Diceros bicornis minor: one gene and its partners. The main gene of each other region encodes a partner of the protein of the gene in region 3 in a complex. Links are inferred from orthologs where the notes say so. Each region holds a gene or a part of one and is shown on either strand. Other genes may lie near its edges.

The links.
Region 1: ANP32A (region 3) and nucleoside diphosphate kinase A 1 share a complex: the UniProt entries of both Homo sapiens proteins name them as parts of the SET complex. The link is inferred for Diceros bicornis minor from reciprocal best matches to the Homo sapiens genes ANP32A and NME1.
Region 2: ANP32A (region 3) and TREX1 share a complex: the UniProt entries of both Homo sapiens proteins name them as parts of the SET complex. The link is inferred for Diceros bicornis minor from reciprocal best matches to the Homo sapiens genes ANP32A and TREX1.

What each region holds. Positions count from the first base shown.
Region 1 is NC_080757.1:35,294,285-35,298,027, reverse strand, and holds the start of nucleoside diphosphate kinase A 1, read left to right. Parts: upstream 1-1,231; 5' UTR 1,232-1,328; intron 1,329-1,534; exon of another isoform or gene 1,535-1,605; intron 1,606-3,743. UniProt on the Homo sapiens protein: Major role in the synthesis of nucleoside triphosphates other than ATP. The ATP gamma phosphate is transferred to the NDP beta phosphate via a ping-pong mechanism, using a phosphorylated active-site intermediate.
Region 2 is NC_080741.1:49,818,310-49,822,052, forward strand, and holds the start of TREX1 (three-prime repair exonuclease 1), read left to right. Parts: upstream 1-1,105; 5' UTR 1,106-1,720; intron 1,721-2,010; 5' UTR 2,011-2,031; coding exon 2,032-2,976; 3' UTR 2,977-3,743. Other genes in the region: ATRIP (ATR-interacting protein), read left to right, coding at 217-469, 876-943. UniProt on the Homo sapiens protein: Major cellular 3'-to-5' DNA exonuclease which digests single-stranded DNA (ssDNA) and double-stranded DNA (dsDNA) with mismatched 3' termini. Prevents cell-intrinsic initiation of autoimmunity.
Region 3 is NC_080744.1:62,645,470-62,649,212, forward strand, and holds the start of ANP32A (acidic leucine-rich nuclear phosphoprotein 32 family member A), read right to left. Parts: upstream 2,666-3,743; 5' UTR 2,527-2,665; coding exon 2,368-2,526; intron 2,353-2,367; exon of another isoform or gene 2,221-2,352; coding exon of another isoform or gene 2,167-2,220; intron 1,275-2,166; exon of another isoform or gene 1,188-1,274; coding exon of another isoform or gene 1,035-1,187; intron 1-1,034. UniProt on the Homo sapiens protein: Multifunctional protein that is involved in the regulation of many processes including tumor suppression, apoptosis, cell cycle progression or transcription. Promotes apoptosis by favouring the activation of caspase-9/CASP9 and allowing apoptosome formation.

The DNA of each region.
Region 1 (3,743 bases), on a different chromosome or scaffold from region 3:
GTTTAAGATCTACTCTCTTAGCAACTTTCAAATATACAATACAGTACTGAAGTTTTTTTCCTAAACATTTTATACTTTTATATTTTACATTTAAGTTTATGATCCATTTTGAGTGAATTTTTGTTTAAGGTAGGAGGTTTAGGAGGAGGTTCTCTTTTTTTGGCCTATAGATGTCCAACTGCTCCAGCACCATTTGTTGAAAAGACTTCTGATTCCACTTTTGTACCTTATTCCATCCATTCCTCATACAGCAGTCAGAATGACTTTTTTTTTTTTTTTTTTGTGAGGAGATCAGCCCTGTGCTAACATCCGCCAATCCTCCTCTTTTTTTGCTGAGGAAGACGGCCCTGGGCTAACATCTGTGCCCATCTTCCTCCACTTTATATGGGACGCCGCCACAGCATGGCTTGCCAAGCAGTGCGTTGGTGCGCGCCCGGGATCCGAACCAGCGAACCCCGGGCCGCCGCAGCGGAGCGCGCGCACTTAACCGCTTGCGCCACCGGGCCGGCCCCCAGAATGACTTTTTTAAATGTGTATCAGAGGATGTCATGCCCTGTTCAAAACCCTCCAGTGGCTTCCCACCCCAACATAATCCGGCCCCTCTGCAACCGCATTTTCTGCCACCCCTTGCCCCTGTAATTCTCGGCCTCAGACAACCAGCGGACTTGCTCCCTCACTTCATGCTGGTCTGTTCTATTGTCACTTCGTCAGAGATTTCCCAGCCAATCTTGCAAAGTAGTTTACTCCTTCAATCTTTCCCCCTTGCCTTGCTTTTTTTTAGCAGCATCTACATAATGCACTACATTACGTATTGATTTGCTCGTTTGTTTATTGTTTGCCCCCATTCCCAACCCCACCAGATGCCACAGAAGAGTTTACTGCTATAGCCCCAGACCCTGGACTACGGCCTGGCACCGAGTAAGTACTCAATTAAGAACTCATTGCTTGACAGGCTGGAAAGAATGAGGACACGTCAAGCGAGAGCGACTTGTCTCCTTTCAGGTCAGGCGCTCGCGAGCGCCACCTCTCGGGAAGCCAATTTGCTGGAGAACGAAGGAAGTGAGTCACAGAATCTTAAAAAACAGGGAGCTTGCCGGAAGAGCATGCAAGACCAGGGCCGGAAGTTAAACATGGGGCAGTTGCTCCCTAGAATGACAGCCGGCTCACAGGAGGAAGCGCGGGCGAGTGGTGTTTTGCAAAAGGCGCTCTCCGGCAGCCGATCTGGGCAGAGGCGTTCCGCGCGTCCGGCTGCCGGCAACCACGTGGGGCCGGGCAGGTTTCCGGTGCCGGGGGCAGCAGGCGGAGGTGAATCCCGAGCAGCTGGAGGGGTGAGAGGGGATCGGGTTCTGAGAGGAGAGGGAGAGGAGTGGGGTCGGGGGAGGGGGAAGTGGAGAGGTCGGGTGAGTTCTGCTCCGAGAGGTGGGAGGGGATCGGATGGGAGGGCAGGGCGGGAGCGCCTGCGGCAGGTGCCAGCCTGTCAGCGCACGTCCCGCGCCACGTGGACTCGCCTTTGTCCTGGCTGCCTTTCCCATCAGGCCGCAAGGACAGGAGTGGTGCCTTATTTGTCTCTGTCCTCTGCAGTGCTGGGCACGGAGGTGGTGCTCAGTAAGTGCTTGCAGAATGAATGACAGATGTGTGTGCCGGCGTGGGTGTGGAGGGACGTTGATAGGGACAATTTCTGGCTCCTAGCCCCGTTTCCTCCTGGGGAATCCATGCTGTTTCCAGCTTCCATCGGGAGTTCTCCGCCACTCCTGGGGCTTTGCCTCTTTTTCTTCGAGGGGCAGGGTCAAGATCATTGAAGACTTTTTTTTTGCTCTTATTGAGTGCTAGGCCCTGTGGCTTGGTACCAGGGACAGAGAGAGGAGTAAACCATCCCTGTTCAGTAGTCTCCCCTTAACCACGGATTCGCTTTCCGAGGTTTCAGTGACCCGCGGTCAACCTCCGTCTGAAAATATTACATGGAAAATTCCAGAAATAGACAATTCATAAGATTTAAATTGCCCGCCCTTCTAAGTAGCGTGGTGAAATCTCGCGCTGTCCTGCCGCGATGTGAATCCTCCTTTTGTCCAGCGGACCCACGCTGTAATATGCTACCCGCATTAGTCACTTAGTGGCCCTCTCGGTTATCAGATCGACTGAGGCGGCATCGGGTGCTTGAGTTCAAGTAACACTTATTTTACTTAATGATGGCCCCAAAGCGCAAGAATAGCGGCGTTGGCAATTCGAATGCGCCAAAGAGAAGCCGAAAAGTGCTTCCTTTAAGTGAAAAGGTGAAAGTTCTGGACTTAATAAGGAAAGAAAAAAAATCGTATGCCGAGGTTGCTAAGATCTACGGTAAGAACGAATCTTCCATCCGTGAAATCGTGAAGAAGGAAAAAGAAATTCGGGCTAGTTTTGCTGTCGCACCTCAAACTGCAAAAGTGACGGCCACAGTGCGTGGGAAATGCTTAGTTAAGATGGAAAAGGCTTTAAGTTTGTGGGTGGAAGACATGAACAGGAAATGTGTTCCGCTGGATGGCAACATGTTGCGCCAGAAAGCGTTGAGCCTGTACGAAGACTTCAGCAAGGGATCCCCTGAAACAAGTGAGAACAAGACATTTACTGCGAGTAAGGGATGGTTACACAGATTCAGGACTAGGTTTGGACTGAGAAATATAAAAATTACTGGAGAGGCTGCGCCTGCTGATGAAGAAGCCGCTGCCACGCTTCCGGCAGAGTTGAAGAAGCTGATTAAGCAGCAAGGATACCAGCCCAAGCAAGTCTTCAATTGCGATGAAACCCGGCTCTTCTGTGCAGTACAGTACGATAAGATATTTAGAGCGACAGACCACGTTCACATAACTTTTACTGCAGTATATTGTTATAATTGTTCTATTTTCTTATTAGTTATGGTTGTTAATCTCTTAGTGTGCCTAACTTATCAAACTTTAGCGTAAGTATGTATACATAGGACAAAGCATAGTATACATAGGCATACCTCGTTTTATTGCACTTTGTTTTATTTATGTGTTTTTTACAAGACCCTCCACCAGCAAAAAGATTACGACTCACCGGAGGCTCAGATGATGGTTAGCATCTTTTGGCCATAAAGTATTTTTTTGATTGAGGTGTATACATTGCTTTTTTAGACATAATGCTATTGCACACTTAATAGACTACAGTATAGTGTAAACATAACTTTTATATGCGTTAGGAAACCAAAAAATTCCCGTGGCTCGCTTTATTGCAATTTTTGCTTTGTTGCCGTGGTCTGGGACTGAAGCTGCAGTATCTTGGAGGTATGCCTGTATATTGTTTGGTACTATCCTCGGTTTCAGGCATCCATTGGGGGTCTCGGAACATATCTCCCGCAGATAAGGGGAGGCTACCTGCATACAGGCTGTAGACCAGTGGGGAGACAGACACACAAACACAACATTCAAATATATTAAGGTGCTATAATAAGAGGTTAACAACTGAAGTCCAGGATGGTGGAGCCAGGAGGTGGTGCTGCTCTCCACATTAGGGACTGTCTTTCAAGGTGAGGGCCTCCTTTCTCATCTGGTGGAGACAGAGCAGGTCGTGAACCCAGTCTTCTTTGTAAAAGGAAAGGTCTGGAATAGACGGTCTCTAGATTTCCTTCCACCATGATGTTCTAGATCAGATATTATTGACGGCTCTAGTTCACAATCCTCCATTTATTAGTCAGATTATTCATTACATCTTATGATGTGGCGTAAATTGCATAGGGCTTTTGGTCCATG
Region 2 (3,743 bases), on a different chromosome or scaffold from region 3:
GTAAGTGCCCAGGGGCAGGCAGGGCCGAGAGCGTGGCAGCTCTCTTGGTGGGTAAGGTGCAAGGACCTGTGCAAGGACCCCATGCTCCTTCTAACCCTGGTGCCACCACTCAGAACCCTCCTCACCTGGGGTGGCTAGGAAAGATGCTGCCCAGCTGAGCAAGGTGTTAGGGTGCAGGAACTGTGAGACCTGACCTCAGTCTGTGCCCTCCCCCAGGTGGTGAGAGCGCTCACGGTGATGCTGCACAGACAGTGGCTGACAGTGCGGAGGGCAGGGGGGCCCCCAAGGACTGACCAGCAGAAGCGGACAGTGCGGTGTCTGCGGGACACGGTGCTGCTGCTGCACAGCCTGTCCCAGAAGGACAAGCTCTTTAGTGTGCACTGTGTGGAGGTCCTGCATCAGTATGACCAGGTGATGCCAGGGGTCAGCACGCTGATTCGAGGGCTTCCTGACGTGACAGACTGTGAAGGTGAGCCGGCAGGAGGACCCCTCCCTACCTCAGCCCCAGGTGGGGTTTTCCCTCAAGTTCGTGGCCAAGTCAGACTTCCCGGCCTACGTCACAGTCCTCCATCCACCACAGCCTTGGCCAGCACTGGGGTCATTCTTATCTTCCTGCTCTGGTTCTTCTCTGTGCATATTAGGCTGCCTTTTGCTCACATCTGTTGAGCTGGCCTGGCAGAGCCAGGGTTTTTCCAGAAACATCCCTGTCTGAATTGCCTTTGTATCATTTTGCTTGCAGTAGCTGAGGGAGCAAGGCCTGGGCGTGGAAGGGACTGGTTAGTTCCTCTGGGCGTGGGGGGAGGAAAGGTGGGACCTCCCCCAGTCCCCAGCACCTTCAGGCCTTCACCAGAGGACGCTCTTCTTTTTTGGCTCAGAGGCCGCCCTGGATGACCTCTGTGCCGCTGAGCCCGATGTGGATGATCCCGAGATGGACTGTGGTTGAGGCCTGTGAGCATCGAGCCACATGGTGGCACCAGCACCACTACTCTCCTCACCTTGTCAACTGATTAAAAGCAGTGACCGGCTGTTTGAGAACAGGCCAGCCTTGTTTCCTGAGTCTGATCTGTGTTGACTGAGTGGGAGGGATGAAGCAGGAGCGGGACCCAGGGAAGGCTGGGATCTTTCTTCCTGTCCCTGGCTGGAGCTGAGATTCGGTCCCCATGGTAACAAATCTGCTTTGAGGAAGAAGCCCTGCCCTCCCTGTGGAATTGCCCTGAGTCATCGCTTTGGGCTGAGGCCATGGGAAGAAACCATTGTGTGACAAGGAAGGAGGCAGCCCTCAGCCCAGGCCTAAACCAGGGAGGCCTGGGAAAGTGGGGCCAAGGGGTGGGCGCAAAATGGCCACGGCAGGGGCTCCTGGCAGCCTTGAATCCTGGAGCTAGCCTTCCCTAATAGCCTAGGCACCACTGCCCTTGTCCTCCCAGCTGGCTCACTCACTGGTGTGAGGGCGTGAGGGCTCTGGTGCGTTGTGCCTGCCAGCAGGCACACAGCTATAGATCTGAGAAGGCCTTTGAGGAGTCACTGTGAGCAGAGGGGTGCTGGGGAAGGAGGGGTGTTGGCAAGAGAGGGGCAGACCAGGCAGACTGACAGCAGGGCGGGCTTTGCTCACGCCAGGCCGTGGGCGGGCTCAGGCTGAGTTTCACTTCCCGCCACTGCTGCCAGCAGCAAGAATCAGCCAGAAAGTGTGCGCCCCGAGTCATTGCTGCCTGCCTGCTACTCGGTAAGTGAGGACCCCCAAGGGGATAGGGTAGGTTCCCTTATCCCCACCCTGAACCCCGCCAGACTAAGTGGGCATTAGGGGAGGAGCCAAACCTTCCCAGACAGACAGCTGAGTGTGCTGATGCCACTAAGGAAGCCACCACCCTCTCTGGCTTCCTGTCCTGAAAATGGGTCCTGGAGTTCACCAACAGTGCCTGCCTGTGCAGGGGAGGCCCACGCCACCCCCACCTGCCTTGGATTTTATCACTGGGGCACTCACATGCCCACTCCCCACCCCATGCTCTTTCCCAGGCTCAGCGGCAGGTACCCACCATGGGCTCGCAGGCCCTGCTCCCGGGTCCTGTGCAGACCCTCATCTTCTTGGACCTGGAAGCCACTGGCCTGCCATTCTCCCAGCCCAAGGTCACGGAGCTGTGCCTGCTGGCCATCCACAGATGTGCCCTGGAGAGCCCTCCCACCCCTCAGGGGCCTCCTTCCACAGTTCCCCCACCACCCCGAGTGGTGGACAAGCTCTCCCTGTGCGTGGCTCCAGGGAAGGCCTGTAGCCCCGCAGCCAGCGAGATCACAGGCCTGAGCACAGCTATGCTGGCAGCGCATGGGCGTCAACGCTTCGATGCCAACCTGGGCAACCTGCTCCGAGCCTTCCTGCAGCGCCAGCCACAGCCCTGGTGCCTCGTGGCACACAACGGTGACCGCTACGACTTCCCCCTGCTCCAGGCAGAGTTCGCTGTGCTGGGCCTTGCCAGTGCTCTGGACGGCGCCTTCTGTGTGGATAGCATTGCTGCCCTGAAGGCCCTGGAGCGAGCTGGCAGCCCCTCGGAGCATGGCCCAAGGAAAAGCTACAGCCTGGGCAGCATCTACACACGCCTGTATGGGCAGGCCCCCCCAGACTCGCACACGGCCGAGGGTGACGTCCTAGCTCTGCTCAGCATCTGTCAGTGGAGGCCGCGGGCCCTTCTGCAGTGGGTGGATGCTCACGCCAGGCCCTTCAGCACCGTCAAGCCAATGTACGGGGTCACAGCCTCTACTGGAGCCAACCCAAGGCCATCTGCTGCCATAGCCACTGTACCCCTGGCCAGAGCCAAGGACACCAGTCCCAACCTTGAGGTGGGCAGGAGGCCCAAGGCCCTTCCTCCAATGCAGAGCCCTGGAGCCCCACCCAGGGAGGGACTGCTGGCCCCACTGGGCCTGCTGGCCTTCCTGACCTTGGCAGTAGCCACACTGTATGGGCTGTCTCTGGCCACACCTGGGCAGTAGGCCAAGAAGGAGAGTCTGACTAATAAAGCCCCCACAGCACTGAGTGGTCACTCGCCTCTAACCCTCCTTGGCAGCCTGAGAGCCTCCTGCACCTCTGCCCACATTCAGGGACCTAGGGAGGGGGCCTAGAGAGTGGCACAGTCTTTGTCCCTCACCCACCCTAGCAGGATGGTCAGATGTCTGAGCCCAATAAAAGTAGGGAAAACATGGAAATCCAAGCGTTGGTACCTAGCCTAATGCCGAATCCCAGCAGCCAAGGCTCTGAAGAAAGGGGGCAGCAGCTCCAAATGTTTGCATTTATTATAAACAAGGGTGCAGACCCTAGACTCTCAAAAATACGTGAACAAGTACAAGGCTAAGACAGATCTGGTGAGACATTAACAGAGGAACAGGGAACACCGAGGTATTCATGTCTGGGCCAGAGCAGCCACCCAGGGCCCCCCTCCACCTTTGGTCCAGACGGCCTGTTGGCCCAGGTGTCCCCGCTGCCAGGACAAAGTGTCGACTAGTGTACAGGAGCTGGATATTCTGTGAGGCTGGTGTCAGGGGAAGCAGGAACTATCAGAGGTCAGATGGTGCCTCTCCTCTGTGGCCCAGTTTCCCTCCAGGACCCAGGGGTGTCAGCCTCACGGCAACTATCACACACATTTTGAAACAGAAAACAGGCAAAATATTTGGCTAAAAGTAAACAAAAACACTGCAGGGAGGACACCTGAGTGTGTAGGTAGACAGAGACCACCCTGCCCACCTGTGGTGGGGGCCAGGGC
Region 3 (3,743 bases):
GGCGTGTGGGCAGAGACACTCGGGAGGCGAGGGGGCGAAGCGTGAGAATCGCTCCCAGTTCGGCGCGGCGCGCTCCCCTCCCCCAGCACACACTCGGGGAAGTTTAAAGAGCCGGTTCGACCCGCTTTCGATCTCACTCCCAGTTGGCCAGCAGTGTGGATAGGGTTGGCCGGGCGAACCGCGCCTCCACACCCACCCGCCGCGACCCGGGCCCCCAACTTGGCGCCCTTCCCCCTCCGAACAGGGGGCTTCCGGAAAGTACGCGGGAAGACCACGGCTCCGGCCCCTTCCCCCATCACCACACCCAGCCCCCAAATCCGCCGGCTCGCGGTCCAAGCTGGGATGAAACCGGCCAGAGAAAGGCAAACCACCGGCAAACTGTTCGCGGAAACTCCTGCCTCCTCCGACGGGCACCCCCTCCCCTCCCTCCGCCACCCCCCTCCCCGCCCTGCGCGCCATAAGGCACGGCACGTCTACAGTCCACAGCTGCGTTATGATGGGGGGGGGCACAAAAACGATCTTGTTTTCAAAAGTCTCACTCAGGTTTGGGGGAGGAACTAGAGAAAAGAGGAAGCAAGGCCTGCCTTCGCCAGGGGTTCGGGTTTTAACGGGCTGGAGGGGCGATAGGTCAGCGCACAGTGCTACCCAAACTCCCAACTCTGTGGAACCCTGGCCACCGAGGCGCGGGGGGGTCCTCCGGCCTGCGCTCCCCTGGTCCCCCGAGGGGCCACGAGGGGAGTCGGCCAGCGTCTCCGCCCCAGACCCGGGGTCCCCGACGCTGAGCCGCCAACTCACATAAAACACTGTCTGAAAGCGAGAGGGAGACAGAAAAAGGAGCGTTGAGTAACCCACCTTCACCTTCCCCTCCTTGGGGGTGGGCTTTCGCCCGAGCCTCCCAGTTCCCATCCGCGCAAGTTTCCTCTGGCCGTACTCCCGCCGCTGCCCAATCAATAACGGCGACCAGAAGGCAAACTCCCATCCCGGAGCTGCGTGTTTGCTGTGCCCGCATAAATCTGGACCCAGCCAATACCCACCACGGGCACCAGCTCTGGGCAGCTCGCGTCCTGACAAAGTTTCCCGTGCCCATTTATTAACCAGGCGCCGAATGGCTGCCGAGGAGCCCACCCTAGAGAAAGACGGGCCGGGGTTCCCGGCGGGGGGCTTGAGCCAGGGCTCAAGGCTGGCATCTGAGGGAGCCCGGAAGGAGCAGGGGCGAGGGGGACCGGGACGTCGCCTTTGGGTAACTTGCAGTAGCGATCGCCCGAGGTGCGGAGGCGCGGGGATTATCTGTGGCTTCGAACGTTCGAAAATCCCTCCCCCCTTCTTCCAATTTATCCTCCCTTCTGAAGAAAAGGAAGAAACATCAGCATCTGGCCCGAAGGTGGGGTGGAAAGAGTGAGGGAGAAAGAGGAGGAGAGGAAGGGAGGCAGAGAAAGGGAGGGAGGGAGAGAAAGGGCGCGTTCACGAACACTACAAAGTTACAAATATGGCTCCCCCGTCTCTCGCCTCATCACTGCAAAGAAATGAAGACGCACTTTAAACTCGAGCCATTCCCAACTCCACTGCAGCCCCCTCCCCACGCGCTCTCCCCCGGGGCCTCGGCCCACATTTATCAGAAACTAAACCGGACTCGCGAAGCCCAAAACTTATTGTGTGTGTGCGAGCGGAGAGAGAGAGAAAGGGAGGGGGAAGGAGCGGGAGGGGGCGGAAGGGGGGATTCATTTATAAAATATAAACCCCCTTTTTTTTGTTGTTAAATCCAGGAGGCAGCCCCTCTCCTCCTCCTCCCCTCGTTAATCTTTCCCCCAGACGGAGTCACGGGAGCAGCGAGCTCAGAGGGTTATTTTGCCTCCTTCTCTCCGACCCAAACGCGTGCGCCCGCTGGCCCCCGATGGGTGCACACTCGCACGCACACTCTCGCACCCACATTCACACACGCGGGAGCACACGCACAGGTAGTCACACACCAAGGGCAGCGGCGGCGGCAGCCGGAACATGCTCGGATGGCATTGCAACCCCCCAACCTTGCAATTCATTTGCAGTCCGACCCCCAAACCCACACCTCCCGGGCGCCCCCCCTCAAAAAAAAGTGCCTCCCCCCAACGCGCGCACACACACACAAAGTAGGAGAATGGACCGACAGAGATATTTTTGGCAAATGCTCACATCAGAGGGCGTCCTGTTCCGCAGCTCTAAATGAATCCGTTTGTCCATGTCCATCTCTCGCGCTCTCTCTCTGCAGAGGCTCCCGCGCCGGCGGAATTCAATCAATAAACCCCGAACCCACGGCCGCGCGTTTTAGGACTTTGAAGGCTCAACCAGATCCGCTCGGTTCTCGAGCCCCCAGCACCCGCGGCGCACACTAACCTGATCACCGTGGAGGCGGGATCTGCGGCCCCGCAGATGAGCGGCAGCAGCCTGAGCCAATCGCCGCCGAGGGTCTCCGGGCAACAGCCAATGGTGGCGGCGGCGGGGGGGAAGGGACCAATGGGCGGACTGCGCAGCCGGCCAGGGAGGCTCAGCCATTTGGTTGTGCTGCCGGGGACGGACCCCTTTAGATTTCGGGGCAGCTGAGGAGCGCGGCGGCTGCTCGGTGGCTGAGCGAGGGGGGTGGGCGGAATGGCGGGGGAAGGGACGGTGACTGTGCCTCGACGGCCGAGCCGCCTGGCCTCACCAGCCCGCCACCGCCTCAGCGTTTGGCCGGGGGCGGGGCCGCAGGTGCGTTATACGAGGGGGAGGGGCGCGGCCGGAGGGGTCGGGTCGGGGTCTCCGCTGGGCCGCCCCGGGCCTGCCCGCGCCGCACCACGGGGTTGCGGAGAGAGGCGGGCGGCGTGAGGTCTGGGGGCCGAGCGTTGCTCGGCGGGCGGGCGGATGAAAGGTCTGGAAGGAGGGGGAGGGGTCAAGGGTGCATTGGGGGAGGGGCTGGTCATTTTCTGGGTCCGGCGGGCTGAGCTGGTGGAGCGTGGCTGCTGCCCCCCACTTCCTCCGCGGGCTCCCACCCCTGGGCTGCGGTTCCCAGCCCGCGCGCCCCTTCGCCTGCCGCCTCGTCTTAGTCCAGCCGCAGCCGTCGCCGCCCCTCGAATAAATAAGTAAATAAAAGCGAGATGCGTCCACCTTTGGATGACTTACCTCGCGGTCTCGACTGTCTCCACGGAGGGGCATTTCAATTTGCTGTGATATAAGGTCAGCTTGGAAGGAGTGATCACCAAGAGGCACCCAGGATCTCGTTTAGTCAACAAATGAATGGAGACCATGCATTAAGAATTGTTGCTGAATATATTGAATATTAAAAAGTGGAAAAGGAAGGTGCTAATAACTCCTGGTTTTCTGGACCAAACGTAATTTATGGGCTTTATAGACCTAGTGAAAGAAAACGGCGCACAGTTGACGCTCATCGTCCACCTGAGTCATTTGGTTCAATTTGGGTTGCCAGAGAGGCTCTATTTGGAGCACTTTCTCCAGGTTTTACGGTTTGCTTGCTTTGGGTTTGTTTGAATCACATTAGTTGTGAGAGACCTTAAAGCCTTAATTCCCGCTGGTTACCAACTTCTTATGGCCAGGCCTAGGACCTTGTGTACTAAGTTAGCTGCCTATTGCTGTTAATAAATCATGAGGATTGTCGTCAACAAGGACAAATACATTTTTACCCTTCCACAACTGTTTTTTAGCCCTTTTATTTCTACGTGTCTACACTCTTTCCCATACACTTTACGGTGGTTTTTTATTTTTTGAATACATTGTGT